7 linked regions of the Canis lupus familiaris genome follow. The protein of the gene in region 6 interacts with the protein of the main gene of each other region in a pairwise test. Links are inferred from orthologs where the notes say so. Each region holds a gene or a part of one and is shown on either strand. Other genes may lie near its edges.

What was found.
Region 1: the proteins of CREB3 (region 6) and NDUFB6 interact in a two-hybrid assay, tested with the Homo sapiens proteins (2 studies listed by BioGRID and IntAct). The two-hybrid records come from large-scale screens. The link is inferred for Canis lupus familiaris from reciprocal best matches to the Homo sapiens genes CREB3 and NDUFB6.
Region 2: the proteins of CREB3 (region 6) and P4HA2 interact in a two-hybrid assay, tested with the Homo sapiens proteins (2 studies listed by BioGRID and IntAct). The two-hybrid records come from large-scale screens. The link is inferred for Canis lupus familiaris from reciprocal best matches to the Homo sapiens genes CREB3 and P4HA2.
Region 3: the proteins of CREB3 (region 6) and STX7 interact in a two-hybrid assay, tested with the Homo sapiens proteins (2 studies listed by BioGRID and IntAct). The two-hybrid records come from large-scale screens. The link is inferred for Canis lupus familiaris from reciprocal best matches to the Homo sapiens genes CREB3 and STX7.
Region 4: the proteins of CREB3 (region 6) and PTDSS1 interact in a two-hybrid assay, tested with the Homo sapiens proteins (2 studies listed by BioGRID and IntAct). The two-hybrid records come from large-scale screens. The link is inferred for Canis lupus familiaris from reciprocal best matches to the Homo sapiens genes CREB3 and PTDSS1.
Region 5: the proteins of CREB3 (region 6) and LAT interact in a two-hybrid assay, tested with the Homo sapiens proteins (2 studies listed by BioGRID and IntAct). The two-hybrid records come from large-scale screens. The link is inferred for Canis lupus familiaris from reciprocal best matches to the Homo sapiens genes CREB3 and LAT.
Region 7: the proteins of CREB3 (region 6) and CACFD1 interact in a two-hybrid assay, tested with the Homo sapiens proteins (2 studies listed by BioGRID and IntAct). The two-hybrid records come from large-scale screens. The link is inferred for Canis lupus familiaris from reciprocal best matches to the Homo sapiens genes CREB3 and CACFD1.

Annotation. Positions count from the first base shown.
Region 1 is NC_049232.1:50,060,004-50,063,988, reverse strand, and holds the start of NDUFB6 (NADH dehydrogenase [ubiquinone] 1 beta subcomplex subunit 6), read left to right. Parts: upstream 1-1,149; 5' UTR 1,150-1,263; coding exon 1,264-1,443; intron 1,444-3,985.
Region 2 is NC_049232.1:20,528,430-20,531,972, forward strand, and holds part of P4HA2 (prolyl 4-hydroxylase subunit alpha-2), read right to left. Parts: intron 1,118-3,543; coding exon 980-1,117; intron 1-979. UniProt on the Homo sapiens protein: Catalyzes the post-translational formation of 4-hydroxyproline in -Xaa-Pro-Gly- sequences in collagens and other proteins.
Region 3 is NC_049222.1:25,723,749-25,727,977, reverse strand, and holds the start of STX7 (syntaxin-7), read left to right. Parts: upstream 1-1,414; 5' UTR 1,415-1,548; intron 1,549-1,882; exon of another isoform or gene 1,883-2,102; intron 2,103-4,229. UniProt on the Homo sapiens protein: May be involved in protein trafficking from the plasma membrane to the early endosome (EE) as well as in homotypic fusion of endocytic organelles. Mediates the endocytic trafficking from early endosomes to late endosomes and lysosomes.
Region 4 is NC_049250.1:41,482,665-41,485,841, forward strand, and holds the end of PTDSS1 (phosphatidylserine synthase 1), read left to right. Parts: coding exon 1-38; intron 39-1,621; coding exon 1,622-1,731; 3' UTR 1,732-2,663; downstream 2,664-3,177. UniProt on the Homo sapiens protein: Catalyzes a base-exchange reaction in which the polar head group of phosphatidylethanolamine (PE) or phosphatidylcholine (PC) is replaced by L-serine. Catalyzes mainly the conversion of phosphatidylcholine.
Region 5 is NC_049227.1:18,622,957-18,627,181, reverse strand, and holds the start of LAT (linker for activation of T-cells family member 1), read right to left. Parts: upstream 2,801-4,225; 5' UTR 2,442-2,800; coding exon 2,348-2,441; intron 2,169-2,347; coding exon 2,141-2,168; intron 2,028-2,140; coding exon 1,993-2,027; intron 1,715-1,992; coding exon 1,627-1,714; intron 1,493-1,626; coding exon 1,428-1,492; intron 1,337-1,427; coding exon 1,162-1,336; intron 1,082-1,161; coding exon 987-1,081; intron 1-986. Other genes in the region: SPNS1 (protein spinster homolog 1), read right to left, coding at 3,589-3,683, 3,963-4,134. UniProt on the Homo sapiens protein: Required for TCR (T-cell antigen receptor)- and pre-TCR-mediated signaling, both in mature T-cells and during their development.
Region 6 is NC_049232.1:52,554,020-52,558,079, forward strand, and holds the start of CREB3 (cyclic AMP-responsive element-binding protein 3), read left to right. Parts: upstream 1-1,224; 5' UTR 1,225-1,620; coding exon 1,621-1,713; intron 1,714-1,818; coding exon 1,819-1,966; intron 1,967-2,055; coding exon 2,056-2,123; intron 2,124-2,237; coding exon 2,238-2,327; intron 2,328-4,060. UniProt on the Homo sapiens protein: Endoplasmic reticulum (ER)-bound sequence-specific transcription factor that directly binds DNA and activates transcription. Plays a role in the unfolded protein response (UPR), promoting cell survival versus ER stress-induced apoptotic cell death.
Region 7 is NC_049230.1:49,930,061-49,933,603, forward strand, and holds part of CACFD1 (calcium channel flower homolog), read left to right. Parts: intron 1-1,216; coding exon 1,217-1,324; intron 1,325-1,814; coding exon 1,815-1,905; 3' UTR 1,906-3,543. UniProt on the Homo sapiens protein: Transmembrane protein which mediates synaptic endocytosis and fitness-based cell culling.

The sequences.
Region 1 (3,985 bases), about 2.5 Mb from region 6:
CTACCAACAATATAATTACCTAAAACAGTTTAAGATTCTTTTTTGGCAGTTCCTTTTTCTCTGAGGTGTCTCTCTCTATACAGATGTATAGTAATTTGATGGATTAAACTAATTGAAATGGTGTGTGTTCTGGAGGTTATGCCATGTAGCAGATCAGTTAGATTCATGTATTTTTACTTTTGATTTCTAGAGGAGATTTTGTAAATTTAATTGTTTTATAATAAAATGTTTACATTGCTTTAGACTAAATCGATTACATAGGATATATTCAGAGACGCCTACCTTCTATCCCTGTCTCCTCTCTCCTATTCCCTTTCCTCCCCTACTGGTAGCATTTTAAAACAAAACAATAGTTTCCTTCCTTTTATTTTTAAAATATAAGCAAACATATATGTATATTTAGTATTACTACCACTCTTCTCTTTTGGGATAAAAGGTAGCATACTATATACACTTCCCTCCACTTAGTTTTCTTTCACTGAATATATTCTAGAGATCATTCCACGGTTGCATATAGAGCACCTCATTCCAGTGTTGCACCATAATTCATTCAACCAGTCCACTATTGAGGAATTTGGGGATAATCTCCAGCATTTGATTGTAAATAGTGCTTCAGTGAATATGCCTGCATATTCTTTTCATATTTTTACCACCGTATCTTTGGGATAGAGTCCTCGACGCGGGATTGCTGGGTCAAAGCATGAATGTGCCAAATTCTGTTAGACATTTAGCTACTCTTTCTGCCTCCGCCGTCCAGATGAGGGAGCGGACTGAGACTGCCCAAGGTCACTTTACTAGTTACTCACACAGCTGGGGGCGTAAACTTGGAAGTACCGTCCTCCGCATTCTCCAGGTCGGGGGAAGAGGAGCACCAAGGCGGGCGAGGGGCTGAAGAATCTGCATTTGGACCTCACATTCATCGGATCACACCCTCGTCCTCCCAGGGCCGAGCACGCCACTCCGACCTGGGACCTCCCCTGCTTCCTTCTTCCGGTCACGCGGCCTCGCCTTCTCCCACAGCTAAGACGCGCCGCCACCCGGCTCGCGGGTAATCGCCGCGGAGACACTGCGCAAGCCCAGCCGCCGCGCGCAGATTGCAGCCGGGGCAGGGGCAGCGGCAGGGGCAGGAGCGTGGTGACGTCATAATGGCGCGCCGCTCCCGGCGTCCTCGCAAGGTCGCCTCGGAGCGGGGCTGGCTGCGCGCCTAAGTGACCTGACGCTGGCCGGGGACGCGCCCGGTCCTGCCTTGGTGCCGGCGGCGACATGGCGGGGTACACGCCAGACGAGAAGCTTCGTCTGCAGCAGCTCCAACAGCTGAGAAGGCGATGGCTAAAGGACCAGGAGCTGAGCCCCCGGGAGCCGGTGCTGCCCCCGCAGCGGGTGTGGCCTATGGAGAAATTTTGGAATAAGTTTTTGCGGGACCAGACCCCCTGGAAGAACGTGGTGAGTGAGGGGCCTCCCCGGCGCTGATGCTCGCGCCCTGCTGCGACCCCCAGCCTGGCTGCTGGGCGCCTCCTGCCCGTTGTGGCCACACCAGGGACTGACATCACTCTGGGCCGGCAAGGCCAGGCGGTTCCTTGGAGGAGAACCAGGTTCAACCGGGACTTAGGCTTAGCAGGTTCGCTAACTTGTCCCGAGAGTCCTGGGCTGGAAGCTCTGGAGTTCAGGAGCACTTGGAGCTTTGGCAGAGTCCTGCCCTGTCGCTGTCAAGTGTGACGAGAAGGAGGCGACTCTTTTTTTTTTTTTTCCCCCATTTGTTTTTATGGAAGTTCAATTTGCCAACAGAGTATAACACCCAGTGCTCATCCCATCAAGTGCCCCCCTCAGTGCCGTCACCCAGCCACCCCCGCCCCCCGCCCACCTCACACACCCTAGGTTCGTTTCCCAGAGTTAGGAGTCTCTCATGGTTTGTCTCCCTCTAATTTTTCCCACACAGTTCCCCTCCTTTCCCTTATAATCCCTTTCGCTATTTCTCATATTCCCCATATGAGTGACACCATATAATGTTTGTCCTTCTCCGATTGGCCTACTTCACTCAGCATAACACCCTCCACTTCCATCCACATTGAAGCAAATGGTGGGTTTTCGTTGTTTCTAATGGCTGAGGAATATTCCATTGTATACATAAACCACATCTTTATCCATCATTTTTCGATGGACACCGAGGCTCCTTCCACAGTTTGGCTATTGTGGACATTGCTGCTAGAAACATCGGGGTCCAGGTGTCCCGTTGTTTCACTGCATCTGCATCTTTGGGGTAAATCCCCAGCAGTGCAATTGCTGGGTCGTAGGGCAGGTCTATTTTTAACTCTTTGAGGAACCTCCACACAGTTTTCCAGAGTGGCTGCACCAGTTCACATTCCCACCAACAGTGTAAGAGGGTTCCCCTTTCTCCACATCCTCTCCAACATTCGTGGTTTCCTGCCTTGTTAATTTTCCCCATTCTCACTGGTGTGAGGTGGTATCTCATTGTGGTTTTGATTTGTGTTTCCCTGATGGCAAGTGATGCAGAGCATTTTCTCATGTGCTTGTTGGCCATGTCTATGTCTTCCTCTGTGAGATTTCTCCTCATGTCTTTTGCCCATTTCATGATTGGATTGTTTGTTTCTTGGGTGTTGAGTTTAATAAGTTCTTTATAGATTTTGGATACTAGCCCTTTATCTGATATGTCATTTGCAAATATCTTCTCCGATTCTGTAGGTTGTCTTTTAGTTTTGTTGGCTGTTTCTTTTGCTGTGCAGAAGCTTTTTATTAAGTCCCAATAATTCATTTTTGCTTTTGTTTCCCTTGCCTTCATAGGTGTATCTTGCAAGAAGTTGCTGTGGCCAGGTTCAAAAAGGGTGTTGCCTGTGTTCTTCTCTAGGACTTTAATGGATTCTTGTCTCACATTTAGATCTTTCATTCATTTTGAGTTTATCTTTGTGTATGGTGTAGGAGAATGGTCTGGTTTCATTCTTCTGCACGTGGCTGTCCAATTTTCTCAGCACCATTTATTGAAGAGACTGTCCTTTTTCCAGTGGATATTCTTAAAGAGGCAAATCTTTGCTTAGGTTTTGCAGAATGATAGAAGGATTCACTTGAGTGAAAATTCTGTAACTTTAGTTATTTAAGAACACCTATCTGCTTTTTAAGGTTGAGGTTATAGAGGATAACACTACACTCAACTACTAGAAGACACAAGGAGCCTCTAACTGGTCATCTAACCCCATGTGATCACCATAAAAGATGGTGGTATGCTTAATGAGTAATATTCAAGAACCACCTTTCTGAACTACCACTATGTACTTTTAACACACTGTTTAATTTAAAAGTGACATTTCTGGGCTTTACACTACAGAAAGTCACTCATTTAAGAGCTGTCTTTATTTTCAGGGTCTCTGGACATTTTCTTAGGTCATTAAATTACATCAATTTAAGTGATGAACACTCTTATCTCAAAATTGCTTTCAACAAGCCACGACATTGACTAATATAATAATGGTAGTGACACTATTAAGTAACACTTGAGTACTTACTTTCTGCCCTGCATTTTGCTGAGGGTGTGACATGTGTTACTTTATTTAATTCTTTACTTCTGTAAGGTAGAAACTACTCCAAATCCTTAATTTAAATGTGTAGTAGAAAATGAGACCTACAAAAATTGAGTGATTTATTGGTGGTCACAGAGTTAGGAGTTGAAGGAGTTCACATTGAGATCCAAGTGTATCTACTTTCTTACTGTGCTACCAAGTCTTGTGCAAATTTTTCTGAGAAAGTGGTATTAGATACTTATTTATGGTGGTAAAATTAAACTCTAATTCAACTTTGCTGTCACCTTTTGTATCCCTGACATTATCCCTGACATTGTTGATTTTGGCAGCTACTGGTTGAAAGTGGACATCCCACCCAACAGCCAGTGGTATAAGGAAGTAAATAATTATTTTAGTCTGTTTTTCCATACTTTGAGTTAATTTTCCTTCTATAATCATATATACTATAGCACCTA
Region 2 (3,543 bases), about 32 Mb from region 6:
AGGGTCTAACTGAACCACTGGGTTTAGTGGCCTCTAACAGTCCCCCAAACCCAATATATCTTCTTGTAAGCATACTGAGGCAATGAGGAGAAAGGGGCCTGTTTAAAAAATAAATAAAAATAAATTTAAAAAAGATAGTAGAAAGCCAAAAAGAGAAGCAATAGAGATCAGTGCCCCAGAATTCAAAGGAGAGAGAACATCAGGAAGACCGGAACAATGAAGGTGCCAAATACTACTGAAAAATTAAAGAACATTATCCCTGAAACTCATCCACTGGCTTAGCAGCTGAGTGGCCACTGGTGACTTGGCAGAGGCAGGATCATTGGAAAGTGGGCAAAGAGGCCAGACTCTGCGTGTTCAGGAGGACTCGGGAAGCAAGGAAGTGAAGAGCATGTGGATGACTATCCAGCAGCCTAGCCAGGTTAGGCTAAGCAAGAGATCATTGAACAGCAGAGACTCAAAGGGCCTTGGATCCTGAGGGAGGGGTTTGTAAGATGAATAAGAACCCAGGGTGTGTGTGAGCTCAGGGGGAAGAGCCAAGTGGGGTAGGCCAAGAATGAAATGGGTATAGGCTTATAACTGAGGACACACAGGACACAGGGCTAAATCCAGAGATCAGCCTTTGTCAAAAAGAAGTCAGAGGGTGTGGGGACAGAAGCAGGTCTAGAAGCAGATCTAAGTGGTGCTCTGGGGGCAGAGGCCAGGACGTCCTGAACAGCAGCCTTGGGCTTCTCTTAGAAGAGAAAGGAGAAGGTGTGAGAGGAAGAGGAAGGAGCTGAGGGGAGATGGCTGTCATGGGGCGGTAGGGGGTGGGGGAAGACGGACCTGGCACCAACTGGAAACCCAAAAGAGCATCACTGCCAACAGTGATGGTGTGCCTGAGGGTAGAGACCACAAGATGGCAGTGGCTCCAGCCCTATCCAGACGCCATAGGAGACACACATGCATGGATGGGCAAAGCCTGAGGTGGTTAAGGTACCTGGAAGTTGCCCTTTGGAAATTGTGTCTGGATCCAGCTTGTATGTGTCCTGAAGTCTCATCAGGGCCTTGGCGGCTCCCATTTCGTCCTCGTCCGTGGGGAAGAACTGCCGCTGCACAGAGAGGTTGGCAATAAAACCTTCCAAATGAGAGTGAGAACAGGAAGTTACCCTTGATCCAAGGGCACAATTCCACCTGGGATCAGAAAGGTATCCACGGGACAGTTTCTCCCTGCCCCTTCCCTCAAAGGCTGTTTCCCCTTCCTCCAAGAAGCCCTCCCTGATGACTCCAGTCCATGGAGATCTCTTTCTTCCTCCTCACTGTACGGAATGCCTGTACTACTCATTTGGAATTGAACAAAGATGGCCCCACAAACTGGTTAGCAGGTCTGAGAGTCTTGGCTCCAAAGTGCTCAGTCAGATCTGGAGGAGATAGAAGGGACAGAGGACAGAAATGGTAATTGAAAAGGACTCAGGGAAGATCTGTTGATCACTTAATGGAAAATGAATCACATGGAAAACCTTGATCCAGGATCATTGCAGGGGGCAGAGGGCCAGAAAAAACAGACCATCCGGCCCACATTCCAGGTCAAGAAGCCCAAGTGACAGAGGTGATTAACTCAGGGAACCTAGCTAGACACTCATTATTGACCACTGGCACTTATCATCCAGAAAGGTAATGATGACAGTCTCAGAGGGGATCTGGTGCTGTCTCCACCACCCAAATTAAGGACTAGGGGACCATCTGGCCAGAACAAGCACTGAGGTGGGCTGCTCAAGCCCTAGCATGGTACCGTGAGAGATCACACTAGCTCTTGTTCTTGCTCTCAAGAGGACTCCTACTACTCAAATCTGCAATGAATTCAAAAGGCATGAGCTCTCTGAATGTAGTGCTCAAGACCATAGCCTGGAACCTAGGCTAGTCCCTGACCAAAGAAATATCCAAGGAGGCTGTTCGAGGACTCCAAGCCCTGGCTCTGAAGCAAGACATGCACTCTTATAATCTCAGGACTCCAGGTGGAGGCCAGGCCCTCTCAAACTGATTCAGGGGTTTTAATTCTGACTGTGAACTAAGAATTGGGAGGGGAATGCCATGGCCCCTTCTTTCCTGGCCTCTTCCTCAGGGCAGCAGCACCCACAGCCACCTACTCTCAGGACCTCAGGCTCAAACACCCACTTCAAACCATGCCAAACCCAGGCACCAAGAAGCTGTAATCCTGCTTTTCTCCTGGCTGCACAGTCAGGGATTCTAAAGAGTCTGGAATTCAGGAAAAAGAAAACATGCCCCCAGAAAAAGCCACACCGTCAGCAAGTCCCCCTTCATCTCAAGTCGGAGGTAAAAACAACCTATTGCTCTCTGGGCCAGTCCTGTCTGCCTTCTGTTAATTATAAGGTTTTCTAAAAGAACCAGATGTTGACGGGGGCTGAGGGGGCGGGGGGAGGGGGGGGAGCTGGTGGTGGAAAGCAAGACCAGGGAGCGGAAGGTCATCCCGGAAGGCAGGCTTATTCTACTGCAGTGCAATGCCTGCCCGCAGAACAGCCAGTTCTGAGCTACAGCCCCAGGCTGGAAGACAGGGGGCTGGGAAAGGCAGCCATGGCTTCTGGAGGCGGTGAGCTCACTGGGCACAGTTCCAGCCTGGCTGAACTCACCAATCCCTCCCCAGAGGCCACCCTGCCCCCAGCCAAGCCCAGCCCAGTCTGGCCACATGGGCTGAACTGCCTCAGCCAGAGACAACTAGTCTGAAGTTAATCAGAACTCCCAACTCGGGGAGAAGAGTCACTGAGTTCAGGAGACTGAGCCCCAGGCTGGAGTCAGGAGGGCCCGCAAACATGCCTGCCTGACCATCTCCTGCTGAGAGGAAAATGTTAGAGCATAGAAAAATACCAGCATAGTCAAAGACATTAAGCACAGTTAAACTTTGAAAAATTTCATACTCTGACTTCCAAATACCACTTCTAGGGATTTAAACTAAGAAAAATAATCAAAGGCAAGGCATAAAGATGTATATGCACAATTGCTGATAATTTACAAACCCCACATCCACTAACTTGACCAGTTTTTTTTGTTTTTTTTTTTAAATTTTTTTTTAAATTTATTTATGATAGTCACACAGAAAGAGAGAGAGAGGCAGAGACATAGGCAGAGGGAGAAGCAGGCTCCATGCACCGGGAGCCCGACGTGGGATTCGATCCCGAGTCTCCAGGATCGCGCCCTGGGCCAAAGGCAGGCGCTAAACTGCTGCGCCACCCAGGGATCCCCTTGACCAGTTTTATACTATATCTGCATGACTTTACCGTACAGCCATTAAAGTCATGTCGTATAACATTTAATGGACATATAAAGAAGCTGAAAATTTCAGGAAAACACTGTATGCTTATGGCACAAATCTGCCTACAGATAGGTTTTCTCTAAAAGTTATGAATGGGAATGGATTTAGATGAGACCCATAATCCCTGGCTTACAATGGCCCCATCACCCAGCCTGACTCACTTTTTGTTAATTCATTTGGTCCCTCAAAGCAAGTGAGTCTGCATTTCCTGCAAAATATGAATGGGTCCATTTCTT
Region 3 (4,229 bases), on a different chromosome or scaffold from region 6:
GACGAAGTTTCTTTGGCTTTCAGTTCCTTTAATCTATTTCCCAAATGAGGAAGTAGAACTAGATTTTCTGTAAGTCCTCCTCCAGCTTTTTTCGTTTGTTTTTTTTTTATACTTTATAGCTGAAACTATTGCCTTATAGAAGCTGAAATACTTTATCTGAGCAAATAATGCTTTCTAAAAGTTTAAGAATATTGAAAAAAGGGATTTCACATAAAAATCTGAATTTCCGAAAGTCTGCAATCAGTGCTAACTGAATCATGCTGCCTTTATTTTTTTAAAGATTTTATTTATTTATTCAGGAGAGACACAGAGAGAAAGGGGCAGAGACACAGGCGGAGGGAGAAGCAGGCTCCATGCAGGGAGCCTGATGCGGGACTCAATCCCAGGTCTCCAGGATCACACCGTGGGTGGTGCTAAACTGCTGAGCCACCCAGGCTGTCCTCCTGTTTCCTTTAGAAGGAATGAATTTCTTTTGCTTGGCCAGCAGACCCACTCTATTGCCCCCCTTTTAGAAGCAGAATAAAGGTGGCTGTCTATTAAAACACTTGTACTGCAGTTTACTTCAGGAAAGATGTGAAATAGGAAATATTTCTGGTTCCCCTTTTTTCTGTTAAAAACAGAACAATTAAAAACAAACTGAGAGACCCTTGTGTTTCTTATTCCTGTCTGACCTCACTCTCTTAGGCACATATGTATGTACACTACTAAACAACCTAGAGTTGGCTCAGATGGTACCAACTCAAGACATTTCGTTTTGATTTTTTTCACCTAAGTGCATCTGGACATTTCATGTCCTGATGATCCTTTCAGAATAATAGTGTTGCCTTAATACAGGCAAAGGCCAACCCATTCTATCTTCTAATTAATTTGCTGAGTATTTCTTTCACCCAATGCAACTGATGCATTTATCTAACAATTACATTATGTTTTAATAGTTACCAGTAGAACATTCTCTGCTTTTTTCAAACCCTGCTGAAACAACACTCTACCCTTCAAGGATGCTTGGAACGACGTGCATGTGCTATGAAAACTAGTCTACTAAATGGGCACACGAAGGTGACTCTTCACTTATGCTGTCTTTGTTCCTGCTAGCATTGCTTATTTGCGTTACCATTTTTTAATGGAGCTGTGGATACGTTCCACTGCAGAGTAAGGACAGGCTGGGCAGGCCCTGATGGGGCAGGCTGAAGGCGTGAGCCTGGGGGGGCCGCCATCACCCGATCAGCGCAGCTGCTCTCCATTCCCTCCTCTGGTTTTTTGCCGTCTGTAAGGCTAGGCCTCGAAAAACACCTCCTTTGCAAATTTTTTTTGGTCCCCCGCCCCCATTCCTTAGCCCAGACTCGGAGGGGGCGGGGCAGAATGGTTGTCACTCAAGCCCATTGGCCAACGAGAGGGGGACGAGCCCCTCCTCCTCCCCAGAGCCGGGTCGCGGGCATGCGCACTGGGCGTCCCAGTGCCACCGCCCATCAGCTGAGAACCGTAGCTGGGGGTCGGGTGCCGGTGGGTGCGGCTGGCCCGAGGAGGAGGAGGCGGCGCGGAGGAGCCGGGGTAAGAGCAGCCTGGGGGGCGGGGGGTCGGATCCCGCGTTCTTGAGGCACTAAGTCCCCGCGGCGGCCGCGCCTCCTCGTCTGTGCGCGTTGCCAGTTGGCCGCCGCCTTACGCTTTGCGGCTGTGGTCGGGAGCCCGGGGGGGCGGGCGCTGCCCAAACCGGGAGCGCCGCCGCGGTCCGCGCCCCGGCCCATCCCGCCCCCCCCCCGGCGCATCCCGCCCGCCCCGGCCCATCCCGCCGGCCCCGCGCCCGCCGATCCCGCGAGCGCTGGCTCCGGTGCCCCCGCGGGTTGCGCGCCCCGGGGCGGGGCCGGCTGGGGCGGAGCTCGGGAGTCCTGCTGCTGCTGCCCGGAGCGGGTCACCGAGCGGTCGCTTCCTCTTTACGACGCATGGAGTTAGAAAACACATTTTAAAGCTCTCTTCCCTAACACAGAGGAACTGAAACTGGATGGCTCGAGAGTAAAGGAACCGTGTAACATCTGTCCCTTCGGAGGCTCCTTGCGGTTGGTTTTCTGTCTGGCTTCAAGACACGCTACCTTTTCTTTGATCTCAGTGTATGTCATTAATGATTTACCCAAAACCTTTAAGAATGTGTAAAGTATTTCAAGATCCGCCTCTCCTCCCCCCACCCCACCCCCCCTTATTGTGTTTTAGGCTGTTGCTTTTTAAAAATTCAGACACAAAGAAAAATACCTTTCTGGTCAAATGCTATATATTTTTTCCCTCTCCGGTTTCGTGTATTTGCTTGGCTTTCCTATAGATACATTGATTTTTTTGTTTGATTTAGATCAGTGTCTTTTGGCTATGACTATATATAATTTAAAACTTTCACAGAATCTGGAAGAAAATGATTCTGAAGGGCTCTGTTGTTGAGTAATGTTGCAGGTGGACATTTTTTCAGGAGCCTTAGCCTCACCCGGGCAGGGCAGGGGCTTGTAGCAGTGTTCAGCCGTGTCTTGGGATGTGGACCGCCTTGCATTGAAGGCCGCTTTGGGAAGTTTGTCTCAGACGGTGACTAATTAAGAATTATGGTCTAGTTTCAGACTTTCCATAGATGTTAAAATGATACCACAGTACCTCCGAATGTCTGCATCATTTTCCTTCAGATGTTTTACTTCTGCTGCTCCCAGTGGTAGAGTTATATCCTCATTTTAGTTAGGATATCAAACTTTAGCCAAGATCTAAGGATGGAAAAATAAATATATAAAACATCTGCAGTAAGTCTGAGTAAAGTTTGCTGCGATTCCATTTAATTTTAAAGTTTAGTGTATGGAAGGGTGAAAAGTAACCCTTGGTATTGTGAGTAAAACCAAATAGTATAAAAATTTAACAGATGGGGATGCTGAGCTAAAGAATTCGGTTAATTTGGTTTAGATAGAGAACACTCATGTCTATCATGGAATGATCGTCTCCCCATTCATGGAACATCCACTATGCGCCTTATACTGTGGACTCTGCAAGGTTGACAAGGTTGTCTTGTGTTTATATCACCAAAGTAGGAATAGAAGGCAATTTACTACCTAGATCATTTTAGAGTGGTGAGTAGCATGATGATAAAGGAAGTTAGATCAACAGAGAGTGCCGGGGTGGTAACTTCTCATTGCAGATCCGAAGTCACCAAAGACTTACCTAGCATGCCATGAGACTTTGCTTGTATAAAGGTGCCAGTCATGTGAAGATCATGGGAAGAGCCTTCCAGGGATAGGAAATGGCACTCAGCAAAGGCCCTAAGGCAATAATAAGCCCAGTACATTTAGGATCTGAAAGAAGACACTGGAATGTAGTGTCTGAGGATTGGTAATGTTTATTCTCAGACTAGGTTTGTGTTCTTAGGAAATAGACACATTTATTCATTCAGTCTTCAGATATTTGTTAAACACCTATTACATAACCCAGTACTTAGACTAATGTAGCACACAGACAAAACCTTGCTCTTCTGGGTACTTATATTTTGGGGTAAGGGGTAGAGTTAAGTCCATTGTTTTATGCCAGTACACACTATTAAGAAGGTGAAACTGACTATTTCTATTGCTCTATCCATGCTTGATTTATAGAGCATGAGATTTATGTTTAATGAGAGTCTTAGGATTCTGCAGTGTGTACAGTAGTAGTACCTGGGAGTAGTGCTTGACACAACTTTTCACAGTTTTCTTTGTTCTTTTATTTGTGCTCTACAGAAAGTCTTGAGAATATCCTTGTTATGAGTATTGCCCTTTTTTTTTTTGTTTTTTGTTTTTGTTTTTTTTATTTATGATAGTCACAGAGAGAGAGAGAGAGAGAGGCAGAGACACAGGCAGAGGGAGAAGCAGGCTCCATGCACCGAGAGCCCGACGTGGGATCCCGGGTCTCCAGGATCACACCCTGGGCCAAAGGCAGGCGCCAAACCGCTGCGCCACCCAGGGATCCCCGAGTATTGCCCTTTGATCCTCTCTTTCTTTCTTTCCCTTTACAGTGCTTATATATTTTCATAGAAATGTAATTGTTAAGATGTTTACATAAGCACTATTCAGTAGAACTTTATGCTGTGATGGAAATGTTTTACATGAACTATACAAATCATTGGCCTCACATGTGATTTTTGAATACTTGATAGAGCAGGTATGGATAATGAGTTATGTTATTCTGAGCAATAAAACTAGGAATTCTGAATGAGCTTTCAAAAATATTCGTCAAGAGTGCTT
Region 4 (3,177 bases), on a different chromosome or scaffold from region 6:
CCCGGAAATCTCCTGGTCTCATGCGAAAGGTTCAAAAGGTATGTCCTTCTCAGCCCGTGTTGAGCCCCCTGCTGGGCCCTGCTCGTCTCGAGGCCCAGCGCGGAGATCCGGATCCGGGTTCATCCCCTGGTGTTGGCAAGCGTTCGCCCGAGGCCCCAGACTGCCCGTCGCGTCCTCACTACGCGCCCCCGGGGCCTGCACAGTCGTGGCCGGACCCCGCGGGGACCTGGCTTCCTGAGGAGAGGCGCCCCGTGGGTCTGCGCCTTGTGACGGGAGGATGTCGGGGGCCTGGAGCCTGTAGCATCCTGAGGGCCGTCCTGACTGCCAAGGCCCAGGAGCGACGTGCGGGGAGGAGAGCTGCTGGCCGTAGCCGGGGTCTCCACTGGCCTCTGCAGGGCCTTGGGGAGCTGTGGGCCTGGCGGCATCGGCGGGCAGGCTCGGGCCCGATGCCAGGGAGGTGCCCCTGTGCAGTCGCCCCCCGCAGGCTCTCAGAGCCACCCGGGGGCTGGACCGAGGGGACAGTGGCAGCGCAGGAGGCCGTGAGGCCACGGAGGGGTAGGCCTGCGGGCGGCTGTCCAGGCTTCCCTGGGCCGCGCGATTCACGCTTCTTCCTGCGGGGGGCGCCCCGCGAGACCTGGGCCAGGGGCGGGTGGACACCTGTTTGCAGGCCGGTGCAGGTGGGCGGGGGTCCCATGCAGGGCGGCCCTGGCTCCTGGCCCGCCGAGCCCTGCTCCCCAAGAGGCGGCGACGAGCAGGCAGTGCCGCACACGCGTCCCTGTGACAGGGAGGCGTAGCAGTTACAGAAATAGCCCTGCAGCTGGTGCCCTGCCCCCGAGACCAGAGCTCGTGCTTCTCTGGGGTTCCCGTAGCGGCGGCCCTGGGGTGGGCCCAGGCCTGAGCCCCGGTGCAGAGAACCCTGTCCGCAGACCCACTCGCGTCCCCGGCCCCCCGCGCGCTCCCCCACCCCCTGTCCTGGGAGGCCTGTCCTGCGAGCTCTCGGCCCACCACAGTGTGACCGGCGATGCCCCGGGGACTGAGCATCCTGGGGGGTGGCATCCCCCGTGGGAGGCTCCGGGGCTGCCCTGAGCAGTAAGAGGCCCACTTTTCAAAGTGTGCTCTGGGCCCCGATAGAGGGCAGGAGATCTTTAGTCCTGTGAAGTCCAGAACCTTCCAGTGTAGGGAGGTAGAGACCCTGGGGCTTGCGGGTCAAGGCGGGACCTCGGGTGATGCCTCCTTGGTTGGGAGAGGCCCCTAGACGCCCGGCGGCTTCATCATTCTGCCTCATGCCAGGATTTGATGTGTTCCCCCCACCCCCCACCCCCGCCCCAGCACAGGGAGCATAAGGCCTCCCACCCCCACCCTCCCACCCCCACCGGTGAGGGCCTAGGGCATGCAAGTTCTTCAGGACGCCCCTCCCCTCGCCCTTCCCGGGGTGAGCGGCTGCCTGCCCTGCTTGCCTGCGGGGTTTGCAGCCGGCCCTGGTGCCTCCACCAGCCGCCACGAGCCACTAGATGGAGTGCAAGGATCAGCGGCGGGCGGCCTGGGCGGAGAGAGGCCATCTGAGGCCCAGCCCACAGGCCCTGCAGCCCTGACGGCGTGTTCTCCTTCCTTCCTCCGCCAGGTTCTGAAGACAGCCCACCCAAGCACCCAGGCAACCACGAGAGCCACTCTTCCAGAAGAAGGAATCGGCATTCCAAGTCGAAAGTCACCAACGGACTTGGAAAGAAATGAAGGAGCCTGGTTCACGTGGACGTCCCGGAGAGTGCCTAGAACTGGGAGGGTGGACAGGTGGTGTGGCCCTCCCTGTGCCGAGGGCAAAGAGGTGGTGCCATCCGGACGAGCACAGGGGCCTGGGGTCATCACTGGACAGCGTGAGTCTTGTTTCCCGCAGACCTGGTCACGCCCGGCAGGTCCTCGCCTGGGATCCTTTGCCAATGCGGGGTCTCGTCCAGCTTCGGCACTTGGCATGTGGTCCCTGGTAGGGGCGCAGAGCTCCGCGGGAAGGGACGGCCCTGGCGCCCAGCTGTCCGGCCCACAGCGTGCGTGGGTGTCCTGTGGTTGCGGGTCGTCGGCACACCTTCCTTCCAATGTTCAAGCTGGTGACGGGTTTTTGTTGTTAGGGACCTGCCTCTCCCATCCCGCGGATTGGTTTCGGGTCAGGCTGCTGTTCTGTCTCGTGTTATCGTCGTGCTTCTTTGGTTTTAAGTGAGAGGCCACTGCTGAAGCTGCACTGGGGAGGGCGCGCCCCTCGCCTGCAGATGAGACGGGGAGAGTGTGTTCCCTCCAGCACATGCCCCCCTCCTTAGGACGCGGTGGGTGGAAACCCATGTGAGGACAAGTCAGCCCCCCACCCAGGACCCCAGGCTTCAGATCAGAACCTTTCTCGTCCGTTCCAAATGTCGTTTGTCCCGACGTGTCCACAGCGCGCAGAAGTGAACCTGCTGCAGAGGCAGCGCCCGCCATGGCTCCTCTCCCAGCCAGGTGCCTTTGACATTCTGTTTTCCTTCCTGGTGTGTGGCTGACATTGTCCTTTAGTCCCATGTCAGGTGCTGGTGAGTATTACCTTTCACGTGTGCCATGCTCTAGAACCTTTGCCCTGGTAGTTCACCACCTCGGATGGATTCCTGTTTTAAATAAAATAACTCACGTTAAAGTCCATCAAAGATGAGTCTCTGCAGAATGCTCATTTCTTTGCATCTTACTGGTACTTTCCACCACCTGTCAGCAGTCACTGTCCTGTTCAGGTGACCTCAGGGTAATCCGCATGCCTACATGCTTTATGAGGCAAGAAGGAGGGAGGCAGGTATTTCAGGGGGCTCACGGACGCGCGCCCTATTTCCTCAGCTCCCCGAGTGACCAGTAGGAGGCGAACAAGATCGTCCTTGTGTTTTCACGTGGCTGCATGAACCCAGTGGGATTTTCCCCTCCTACAAACGGCCAGTACTCAGCTGATTAGCAGACGGACAGAAACTGGCTGAAGGAGATCCTCTTGTTCCTTCACAGAGCAGAGTTCTCCATGTCTTTCCCCCCAAAACAACACCTTTCACCTAGGACTGTCATGTTTTTCTTTTCCTGCATAGGAATTCCGGGGTAAAGGGGTTAAATGAATCCTGCAGAGCTGGGGTCACACGCTGCACCCCTGGGCCTGCTCTGACCGCTGGGTTCAGAGCCTCGTGC
Region 5 (4,225 bases), on a different chromosome or scaffold from region 6:
CGAGGCCGTGGACAAGGCGGGCTCTGGAGCCAGAGCGCCCAGGTTCACGCCCGGCGCCAGCGCTCACAGTCGTGCAACCTCACAAGAGGTCCCTAACCTCTCTGGGCCTCGCTGTTCCCCCCAGTGTAAGAGGGTGAGCAGCAGCACCCCCTCCCAGGGGTGTCATGAGAACTAACGCAGAGAATATGGAAACAGGGCCTGTCCTACGGCAAGTGCCGCCGAGGGCCCGTTAAATAAATAACCCCTCGTGTCGTACAGTCGGGACAACCGAGGCGCAGGATGGGGAGACGTGGGCTCAACAGCACCTGGGAACCGTGACGTTTAATAAGTTAGTGCACCAGACACTCAGGAGGCAGGGAGTAGGCTCCCGACAACACTAGGCCTCATCCTGACGCCGCCTCTTGAGCTGTTTGATCAGAGGCGCCCAGTAAATATGGTGAAGGAGGGAAGGACAGGGGATGAACAAATGAAGGAAAAGAAGCCCTGGCACAGATGGCGAGTTGGCGATTGAGTTGGCAAATGGCACCGGATGGGCCGAACAGGTTTGGAGAATGAGGACAGGGCTGGAAAGCTAAGCTCGCCAGGCGCGGGAGGAAGCCTCCAACAGGCAGCGTGAGACCCACGCGAAGGGAGAAAAGCAGCTCAGAGGAAACCGAAACGATGCCGGAAGCAGAAGAAAACTTCCCAAAGCCCCTGCCGAAGAAGACAACCTATAAGATTTACAAGATGATGTGGCCTCCATGAGAAAGGAACAGAGGCCAAGAGAGAGCCTCCGGGTGGGAGAGACCGAAGAACAGAGGCCAGAAGAAGAGTGAATCAGAGAAAGGTCGCAAACAATAAAAGGGAAAGACCACGAAGAAGGAAAGAGGATGGGAAGGAAAGGAAATCAGGAGGTCGGAGTGGAAGTGCACCCTGAGGGACAGGCGTCCTAGAGAGAGGAGAGACTGCGGAGGGGCGGCCACAGGGACAGTCGCCCGGGAACTCACTGGAGAAGGCGCTGTCTCGGAGGCTGGGGTTGCTGGGCACCGGAGCCGGTGGGACCGCAGTGCCGGTGGCTGGCGTGCTGTCAGGAAGCACCTCCCTGAGGGGGAGTCGAGGGGCGGTGAGTGAGGACCCCCCTCCGGCCAGGGTCCCCACCAGCCCGCCCACCAGGCCACTCACAAGTAGCCCTCGTTGTGATACTCCTCCTCCTCGTCCTCGTCGTTGTCCTCGCAGGAGAGGTGCTCTGGGGTAACGACACAGCGATCAGGGCGCAGGCCAGGCCCCAGCCTCCCTGCAACCAGGGCCCCCGGGGCCCCAGACGCACCCTCGTTCTCGTAGCTCGCCACACTGTTGGCTTCGGAGAGAGAGCAAGAGGGAGACAGTCAGCTCAGAGGGGGTCTCGCCTCTGCCCAGCCCCAGCCGTCTGAGCCCGGCTCCACACTTACCACCATCTGAGTCCTGCCGGGAAGATGGCATGCGGTGGGAGCCCCCGGGGGGCTGTGGGGACCTCCTGGGAGTCAAAGGTCACAGGTTATGCTGGGGTGGGGCTCTGGGACAAGCGGATTGTCACAGGGAAGGGGACCCCCAATCTACAGAGGTGAGCCGGGTAAAGAGGGCGTTGTGAAGGGGGAGGATGCTACTTACGGGATGGGAAGCAGGTCCGGCTGGCTCAAGGGTGGGTAAGAGGTAACAGGCCCATAGGATGGGGCCGATGGCCAGGGCACAACTGTAGCTGAGGACACAGGACCAAGCACAAGGAGTGACTCCAGACATCTTGCCCCTACTCTCATTGAGGCCTCAAAGGATAGACTAGCCCCATGAAACCTCCTGTGCCCTGGACAGGCCCGAGGACACCCATCTCCCTCCCTAGTCCCAGATCAGGTCAAAGCCATGTGGGCAGCCACGGTGGAGGGAAGGCAGGAGGGGGGACCTGAACAAAGGCACACAATCTCTCATGCGCCAGGGACCCTCTCTCCTACACCCAAGGGAGGGGACCCTCCAGGTACTCACGAGGTCTTTTGATCACAATGCTACTTGGGGTCAAGCTGGCAAGAGAGACAGAGCTTGGTCAGGGGCAGGAGAGGCCCCAGCTCCCATCCCAGCCCCCAGGGTCACACAGGGTAGTGAGGGAGCCACACAGGGCCCATGGACAACTCACCTATCAGAGGCGGTGCTGTCATAAGAGCCTGGGGAAGAGAAGTCAGTGAGGCAGGAAGAGGGGTGGCGAGGGGAGAGGGTGGGAGCGCAGGGCTCTCAGGTCTCACACACGCAGGACAGAGGTAGGATAGAGCAAGGGGGTCAAGGAGGGCCGAAGATCCCCGAAGGCATGTCCTGAGAGCGGTGTTACCCGGCAGCCCGCACTCACCTGGCAGCTCTCGGCAGCGCACGCACAGCACTACGGCCAAGAGGGGCAGCAACAGGAGGCCCAGCATATAGGGGATCAGGACGACGGCCTCCATCTGCAGCAGAGCTTGGACCAGGCCTGGCTGCCTGCCGCCCAGCACGCTGAGCTGCGGCAGGGTGTGAGCTGGGCCAGCACGGGTGCGGGAACCCAGTGGGCACCAGCCTGGAAGCCTGACTGCGGGCCGGCTGTGCCCTCCTTGGGCACTCCTTGGACCCCCTGCCCCTTGCCGGGCCTCGCAGGGGTCGGCACTGCCTAGGGAAGACCCGTGATCCCAGGGCAGACCGACCAGGGTCTGGGCCGGAGTCTGGGGCGCCAGTCACCCCTGAGCGGCCCCCGCGCCCCAGCCCTACCTGCCCCTCGGCTAGGCGCCTGCCTCTCAGAGCCTGCCCGCCTGTGGCAGGAAGCTGTGGTGAGCCCCGGGTGAGGGCAGGAAATCATCGGGCTCAGCCGGCTGCCCCCGCCCCCTTCCCACCCCCACCCAGCCAGCGGGGAGGGGGAGGAAGAGGCCTTTGGAGCCACCCCTGGGTCCTCAGGAGGGGTCTGCTGGCCTCCGGGACAAAGAGCTATTCCTACCAGGGAAGGAGGGCAAGATAGTTACAGGCCACCCGACAGCCATGGCGTCCACAGCCAGGACTCAAGGGGGCAGCCAGGAGGGAGGCCCGGACGCTGGGAATCAAGGGGCACGGGGCAGTACCCACCCTACCTTACCCTGGCTGGCCTACCAAGAGGGGCAGGCTCGAGGGGAACCATGGGCGTGACTCACAGTCACACTGAGCTACTTCACTCCGCACTCTTTTTCACCCGGCCCAGGAGGGCAGGGATTTGCCCAAGGTCCCACACAAGTGACCCCATAGCCCCAGGAGTCCTGGGGCCAGAGTAGGGGCATCCCCTGCAGACAACCAGAGGTCAGTAACACCCACAGAGACTCAGGCAGGCACTCAGGGTCTGGCTACAAATTTTATTCAGTTACAAATAGCACCGAGCCCCTGGGGCTGCTCCAGGGGAGGGGAGTCCCCCTCCCAGACCCCCCAGAACCTCCCCACCCTGCCCTTGGCTGCTGCCTGTGTAGTGTGTGGGAGCCGGAACATGGCCCACAGCCACTCCTAGAAGCCAGGCCAGGCCGAGGGTTTGCGCCTGGGCACCTTCTGGGGTGGGCCTGGGGCCAGCTGCGGTACGTATGCAGGTTGGTGTGCGATGGTCCCTCAGATAAGCACACTGGACACAGGGACCCGGGTGGAGCGGCCTCGCTGGGGTACCACAATTCGGTCATCTGCAGGTCCAGCCTCACGCAGCAGACCTGCCGAGGGAGGGGTCAGAGCCAGGGCTGGATAAACAAAAAGACACAAAAACAGGGAGGGGACAGAAAGGCAGTGGAAAGTGGACAGGGCCAGCAGACCCACCAGAGCCATGAGCACAGTGGGATATCAGTTCGTTGGCCAGGCAGACCCAAAGCCGAATGAGGGAAGGGCTGTGGGCTCAGGGAAGCCAGGGACACGGGCTGGGACAGATGGACAAGCAGGCAGTATCCTGAAGTCGGCAAGGAGCCACGGGCGGACAAAGGGAAGGCCCCACTGACCCTGCACGTGCAGCTGGGCCCGCCGGCGGTCGCCCTCGATGAAGATGGCAGTGCCCAAGAAGGCTGCCCCACCCAGGGCCCCCACGAAGGCGCAGAGCATCAGCGAGAACTGCAGGGCACGGAACTCGGACAAGAAGGAGGGGGGCCAGCTCCGGCGGAGGCGGTCGGAGATCTGCAGAGAGACGAGTAAAGCAGTGCCAGGAGAATGAGCCACAGAGAGGGAGCCCCTGGACTCCAGAAGGACAGAGGTGTCAGGAGCCGGC
Region 6 (4,060 bases):
AATGAGTTTATCCTATCTCTGGGCTAGAGAACCCCTGAAACTACGTAGGAATGAGACCTCCCTGCAAAACGAGAGCACCTACCTACTGCCAATCTCTTAAATTCAATATATCCAAGGTCAGCTACCCTAACCTCAGCCATAACCCCCATAAAACTAACCCTAATCCCTAATATTAACCCTGACCCTAATTTGGTTCCTGTTTCCCAACACTGGCTTTGACATTCATCCCTTTCCTGGCAGACACCCGTCCCCAATCCTTGATCCCTAATATTGATCTACTTTTTACCTCTAGGAATGAATTTCCTGACCTTAACTCTAAATGTTGATCTCTAAGCCTAAAACTGTTGTCTCACTTGACTTCTGATCCATCCCTTCGCGATTTATCCCTAGTTCCATGCTAATGTTCTCTAATCCCTAAAAAACTGGACTTCTAATTTAAATCCTGTGTTGACCCTTAAACCGGCCCTGAACCCTAACTTTGACTTACGTTGGCCAGAAACAGAATAATGACCTAATCCAAACTCTACCTACATAAAACGGACCCGACTCACACTGGTAACTCTAAATGTCAACTCCGGTTTTTAACTCCGTAAGCTAACCTTTAATTCCTAAACCCAACTCTACCTAATTCCCAAACTCACCCCCAGCTTTCCTACCCGCATACTCACTATCAGCTAACCTCAAAGCCGATCCCCGCCCTGCGCCTCACTGTCACCCAACTCCTCACCCTCCCCAAAACTTATTCCAGACAGAGAGGACTTGATCCCAGGAAAGGCTTGGCTCCCTTAAAACGACCTACTTAACTTCCGATCCCAAGCCGAGATACACTGGACGCTGACCTCTCCAACAGGACCCGAAACAGCGGACGCAAGGGCCCCGCCCGCCCTGCCACCCGCGCTGCCACCCGCGCTCGCGCTCGCTTCCCGGTCCTGGCCGTGCGGCCCCACCCTGAGGCTCCGGCTCGGCCCGGTCCGGCCTACCTGCGCTGCCCGGCTCGTGCCCCGCCCGCCGGCCCGATAACCCGCTCGCTCTCCCGGTGGTAATCGGGCTTCGGCCTCGCCCTCCCTTCGACACTCTCTCGGCCACTTCCGTCCCCGGAACGTCCCCCACCCGCGGGCGGCGCCCTGGGCCCGCGCTCTATGGTTGTGGGGGCAACAGGAAGCTGCTCTGGCCCCAGCTCTCGATGCTCGGGAGCCGGCCTTAAAAAGGCGCCCCCCCCCGCCCCCCGGCCGGCTCCCCCGGCAGGAAACAAGGGTGCGGCGCAATCCGGGAAGACGCCCGAACTGCGCGCGAGTTCCCCTTTGGTCTCTAACCCTTCCTTTTTTTTCAGCCTGGGGCCGAGGCGGAGGCGGCCTCCCAGATTGCCCGCCCTCAGGGTGTGAGGAGGCCGCAGGGACGTCCCCTCTATTTGCAGAGCTCCCGGGACGTGGCGCGCCGCGGCTAGGCCACTTCCGCGTCGGAGGGAACTCCAAATCCCGTGGTGCCTCGGGGGTGTGCGCGTCACTTCCGTGGTGTTGGAAGTTGCGGAGAATCGGGTCTTGGGGGCTGGTGCAATTTCAGAGCGACAGGTCCGGGCTTGCGGATAGGTCTCTCTGTACATCTTTCCGGTTGTTATCCGGTATGGAGCTGGCGTTGGACTTGGGTGACCAGGACCTGCTGGATTTCCTGCTAGAGGAAAGCGGCGATTTGGGGGCCGGGCCGCCGCTTTCCGAGGTGGGTGGGGGCTGCGAGCCGGGGAGGCGCGGGGATCCCGGGAGAGCGTTCATGGGGTGGTGGGTAGTTGATAGGTCAAGGCTTGTTTATTTGAACCCTGTGCAGGCGTTGAGTGAATGGGAGGCAGAGGATTTCCTGAGTTCCATGCTGAGTCCCCCAGCATCGTTGAACGTCCTTAGCTCCTCTGATTCCTGTCTCGTGCACCATGATCACACCTACTCTCTCTCACAACAGCATGTTTCCATAGATCTAGGTGAGTCTGAAATATGATGAGGAAGAAAGTGAGGTTTGAGGGGAGGAGAGGCTTCGTGGGTCTGGCTATTTATACTTTTCGTTTTGCAGATGGTGGGAGCTATGGAAAAGAAGAGGCCCAGACGACCCCACTGCAAGTGGAGGAGCCCGCAGAGCAGGTACTTGATTTATGGCGGGATCATTCCCACATTGCGCGGGTGGGGGCGGATTCCCCATTCCTTTCTGTCATCCCCTTGCAACTCTGCTGCCCACCTCCTGGTAACTAATCCCAGGAGATTGCTAGGCTGATACTGACAGATGAAGAGAAGAGGCTGTTGGAGAAGGAGGGGCTTACTCTGCATGGGACGCTTCCTCTTACTAAGGTAAGACTCCCATTGGTGGGAGTGAAGGCTGGAGGGATGTGTTGTGGATCCCAAGTGTGCACTTCTGTTAACTTTATGTCAGGAAGGACTGAGGTTAGAAAACTTGGCAAATTTGTTGGTAATAGGAAGCTGGAGCATGATGTTAATATGGTGGATGCAGAGGCAGATCCTGGTTTTGTGGGGCTCATACAAGTTTTGGTGTTTTCTTTGAGAAGAATTCAAAATCATCGATGCAACATTAGTGTAGGGTCTTGGAAGGGACTGTGCAAGCAAACTCATGGTAATCCACCTGTAGCTAAATGGTTAGAGTTCATCAAGGCTGGACTAAGTAATATAGCAAGAATAATTGTAAAATCCCAAGTTTTAAGTTTCAGGCAATGAATAGCAGCTTCACAAGCACAGTATTGTGGTACTGTTGTGAAACCAACACTACAGGAAGGTTGAGAGAATTTTCTTAAAAGTACAAGATGGGTTAGTTTGAGATGACAGAGAGTGGGGTTTGAAGGCTGTATCAGTAGAGGTGTTGCCTCTAGAAGGGCAGTGACCATCTTCTTCTCCATTATACTGGCCAGAGCACATCTTAGTGTCTAGTTTTGAACCCAGATCTTTGACAGATATTAAGAGGATGCAGTCCATCCCGAAGAGAGGTGAGAAGTTAATTTTTTTTTTTTTAAGATTTTACTTATTTATTCATGAGAGACACACAGAGAGAGGCAGAGACACAGGCAGCGGGAGAAGCAGGCTCTATGCAGGGAGCCCGATATGGGACTTGATCCTGGGACTCCAGGATCGTGCCCTGGGCTGAAGGGAGGTACTAACCTGCTGAGCCACCCAGGCATCCCGAGAAGTTAAAATTTTTGCCCAGATCTTTTAACTCTGAAGAAATGTTAAATGGCTTAAATTAAAGACTGTTCATTCTGGGATCCCTGGGTGGCTCAGCAGTTTAGCACCTGCCTTCAGCCCAGAGCGTGATCCTGCAGACCCGGGATCGAGACCCACAGCAGGCTCCCTGCGTGGAGCCTGCTTCTCTCACTGCCTGTGTCTCTGCCTCTCTCTCTCTGTGTGTGTGTCTCTCATGAATAAGTAATAAGATCTTAAAAAAAAAAACAAAAAAAAAACCTTCATTCTATATGGTCTCAGAGATAGGTACCAGGTAAGTTCAATTGATAGAAATCATAGAGGCAGATGTCGGTTAGCTTAGGATAAGGAAAATTTAAAGATTTTTTTTTAAAGGTTTATTTATTTTAAATCTTTTTTTTTTTATTTTTATTTATTTATGATAGTCACAGAGAGAGAGAGAGAGAGAGGGGCAAAGACAGAGGCAGAGGAAGAATCAGGCTCCATGCACCGGGAGCCCGATGTGGGATTCAATCCCAGGTCTCCAGGATTGCGCCCTGGGCCAAAGGCAGGCGCCAAACCGCTGCGCCACCTAGGGATCCCGGTTTCCTTATTTTAAAGAGAGATTGTGCTTGTGCATGCAAGCAGCAGGGTGGGGCAGAAAGCAAGGGAGAGAGAATGAAAATCTCAAGTGGACTCCCTGTTAATCACAAAGCCCAACGCGGCACTCCATCCCATGATCCTGAGATCATGACCTGAGCTGAAGTCAAATCAGGAGTCAGACTCCTAACCAACTGAGCCACCCAGGTGCCCCAAGATTTTTTGTTTTGTTTTTATTTTTAAAGATTTTATTTATTTATTCATGAGAGACACAGAGAGAGACAGAGACATAGGCA
Region 7 (3,543 bases), on a different chromosome or scaffold from region 6:
ACGTGACTGCTACTTTCCAAAAAGGTTTTCAGCATTTCCACCACCTCCATGGCCCAAACCCTCCCGGGGCCATGCACCGTTTTACAGTTGTGTCCGTTGTTTAGGAACTGACCTGTTCTTCCAAATGTTTTTGCTAATTGCATTTTCTTTTTTGAAAATGGTCTAATTTACTTTTTACCTATTAATGGGAGACATTCATTAATGGCATCTTACTGTTTTACGTTGCAAGTTCCTACATTTCCTGCAGTGAAGATTTTTTAATCCTTTGTTATATTTCCTGCAAATATTTTTTCAGCTGGTTTGCCTTTGTTTTGACAGAAGATTTTCCTCTGTGCTCTTCTTGTGTGTGTGTCATTTCTATTATGCTTTTACTTAGAGATTTTATAACCACAGTAAAACCTCACGATCACTTACTTGTCTGTTCTGGATAGAAAGTCAGGTGGAATTCGACTGGCCAGTCTGGTGGCCCAGTCTGACCTTCTTTGTGTACAGGGTGTGTGAGGGCAGGTGGGGCTGCTGGGGAGGCAGCCTGGCCCAGGGAAGCGACAGGACGGAGTGCTGGTCCTCTGGTTCACCCTAGCCACTGCCCCTGGTCTGGGAATCCCAGCCAGCGTGTGGAGTCAGCCCTAGAGACATTGGAGCCCGAGTGGACACCTGCCACCAAGTGGCACCAGACTGTGGTCAGGGGACAAGATGGAGCCAGGGCTGCTCCTGCTGGGAACCTTGCAACTAGGAAGCCCCACGCCTTCTGCAGCTTAAGCTCTGGGATCTTTCTTAGTGAGACGGGGCTGGCTTTTCTGCAGCATGAAGAGCTACCATATGTTTGGTGCTGATGTTGCTGATCCGGGCATTGTGTTGTGTAGTTAACAGGGAGGAGTTCAGGAACTTGCCAGTCGCTAAGCCAGTAGAGGGTGAACTGTTTTAGGAACAGGGAGGGTGGATTGTCCCAGGGTTGTTTCACCCTTTGTGTGCCACAGACCCTTTCAAAGATCTGATGAAGGCTTTATGTCCTCTCCCCAGAAAATACAGAGAATTGTGCGGACAGGTGCATGGGTGTTTCTGAAGCCTGCTGGTGAACCTATGTCCAGACTGATTTCTAGGGACCCTTCTTGTACCTGGCTGTCTGGGAAGGGGGCCGGGGTTGGTCTGGGGAGCCTGGAGGTGGGGTGGCAGCTTCAGGATGGGGGTACCCCCTTGACCTCTGCCTCTCTCCTAGGATGGCCATCATTCCCATTGTCATCAGCCTGACCCTAACCACGCTGCTGGGCAACGCCATTGCATTTGCCACCGGGGTACTGTACGGGCTGTCTGCTCTGGGCAAAAAGTACGTATGTTTTTCCCAGCCCCTGGGAGGAATCTGAAGTCTCTCAGGGAGGAAGGTCAGAGACAGGCCCCCCTTAGCCGTTTGCGGAAACTGAGGCACAGAGGTTGTCAGTGACTTTTGTCAGTGTTCCCAGGGTGTTCAGCTCTAGGGAATGAGAGCGAGAGGGTTCATGGGCTTCTGGTGGCCCGGCTGTACCTTGCCGCAGCTGATAGTGGGGATGGCAAGTCTGGCTTGGGGGAGCTTCTTCCTCTGCCCTCAGAATCAAGACTGCAACTCTCAGTCCTTCTCCACCCACCATCCCAGGCAGCCTGTGCCACTCTTAGAGGTGATATGTGTGCCATCGTAGCAACAGGGTCTCTGGGGAAACCAGAGGCCCAGTAGTCTCTTCTGCAGGTCATGCTTTGGTCACAGGCCAGGAATCTGGTGGTGGCTGGGAGGGCTGTGTGCCTGGGGTCTGTCCTCACTGTGATGTGGACTCGTTCTCTCCCAGGGGTGATGCAATCTCCTATGCCAGGATCCAGCAGCAGAAGCAGCAGGCAGATGAGGAGAAACTCACGGACACCCTGGAGGGGGAGCTGTAATGTGAGCTTCCCGCTCGCCCTCTGGTTCTGTGTGGACACATCCTGCAAGGACAAGGCCTGGAGCATTGACCCCGAAGGACAGCCTGGAAGAGGAGGAGCCCCTGCCTGGCTCCCAGCAGTCCCTGTACGCCTGTCCCTACACCTGGAGTCCTCTTCTGTCTTTTCCTCTCTATAGCTTGGTATCTCCTGGCCCTGGACCGCAGCCAGCAGCAAGGAGACTGGCAGGGACAGCAGGTAGCCTCAGGGGTGACCCAGGCCACAGGACTGGAGGAAGGGCCTGCAGTAGCTATGCAGACAGCCCATCTGGCTCCACTTCTCACAGCTGGCCTGGCTTGGCCAGAAACAGACTGCTGTGCACATTTCCAGAATTACAGCACTAGCAGAACCACCGGGGATCTGCTGAAGGCTTGGGAGGAACTTCCCCTGGAGATGCTGGGCCTGTGCTCAGATGGGAGGCACGTCAACCCGGGCCTGGGCATTGGTCAGAGGGAGCCTCCTCTTGGCTCTCCAGGCAGGAACATACCCTGTAGGTTGAGCCACCTGGGCCCCCTCTGTTCACCTGCCATTGGGACAGAGCTGTGCCCTGCTGCCCAGGGTCTCTTACCACTGCCCAGGCCCCTCCCGATCTCTCTCTTCTCTGTGGAAGCCCACAGCACTCCCAGGATGCTCCTCGAGTACCCAGAACAGCAGCTTTGGCAGCGGGTAGACAGTTGGGTACTTGTCTCAGTTCCCTGGAACCTTGGACAGGCCATTCCAGGGACTTCTCACGGGCCTGGCCCATGCTCCCAGGTTCTCCCCGTAACCCCCAGGGCCTTGGTGCTAAGCAGCTGGGGAGGGCAGGCTCTCCTCTGTCCCATGGGGCTCTTTGTCCGCCTGTCTGATGCGGTCCTGCCATGTTAGCCGTGGCCCAAACCCGGTTATTAGGGCTAAGCTTGACCCACCAGCATTCCTGCTGGCCTGCCCCCTACCGTGCCCTCGGGGAGCTTCTTGCCTTTGAGAGCTGGGCAGAGACCACAGCTGCCTCCACCACCATAAGCTGTCCCCACTGCTCCAGGTGCCAGGCCATCAGGGAACAAGGCCTATGCAGAGGGCCCAAGGAAGCAGCCCTACCCGGGATGTGCGCCATCTACCCCGGCCACCCTCCATGCCGTCATTACTTGTGTCCCCTACGTGTGTCTGCCTTAGCCCGCTGCCGTTCTGCTCCCCAGACTGGCCCCCCAGCTGCTAGGCCCATCCAACGGGGCCTGGCCTAGCCCGGGGGGCACTGGGGAGAGACGGGCTGGTGTGGACAAGTCTCCCTCTGGGGCCCAGCTCCCGCCCATTCTTCCCCTAGGACCTGGCTGTGCCTGCTCACAGCTGGAGCTCAGCCCCAGCCCTGCTTTGTTGAAACCCCCCTCAGGCTGTGTCCTGATCTTTGCTTCCCAGAGGGAGCTCTCTGGGGGCTTGTCAGTGTTGGACAGTGAGAGCAGCAGTCACTGCCCTGGGGACATGTCAGAGGGCTTCTGGTCAGCAGAGGGCCCTGCTGCCTTCCAGAGCTGGCCAGGCTGAGCCCTGTGGTGGCCGGCCAGGTGGGACACGTGCCTTCAGGTGTCCGCTGGGACCACCTTCCTCAAACAAGCACTAGGTTCAAAGGGCTGT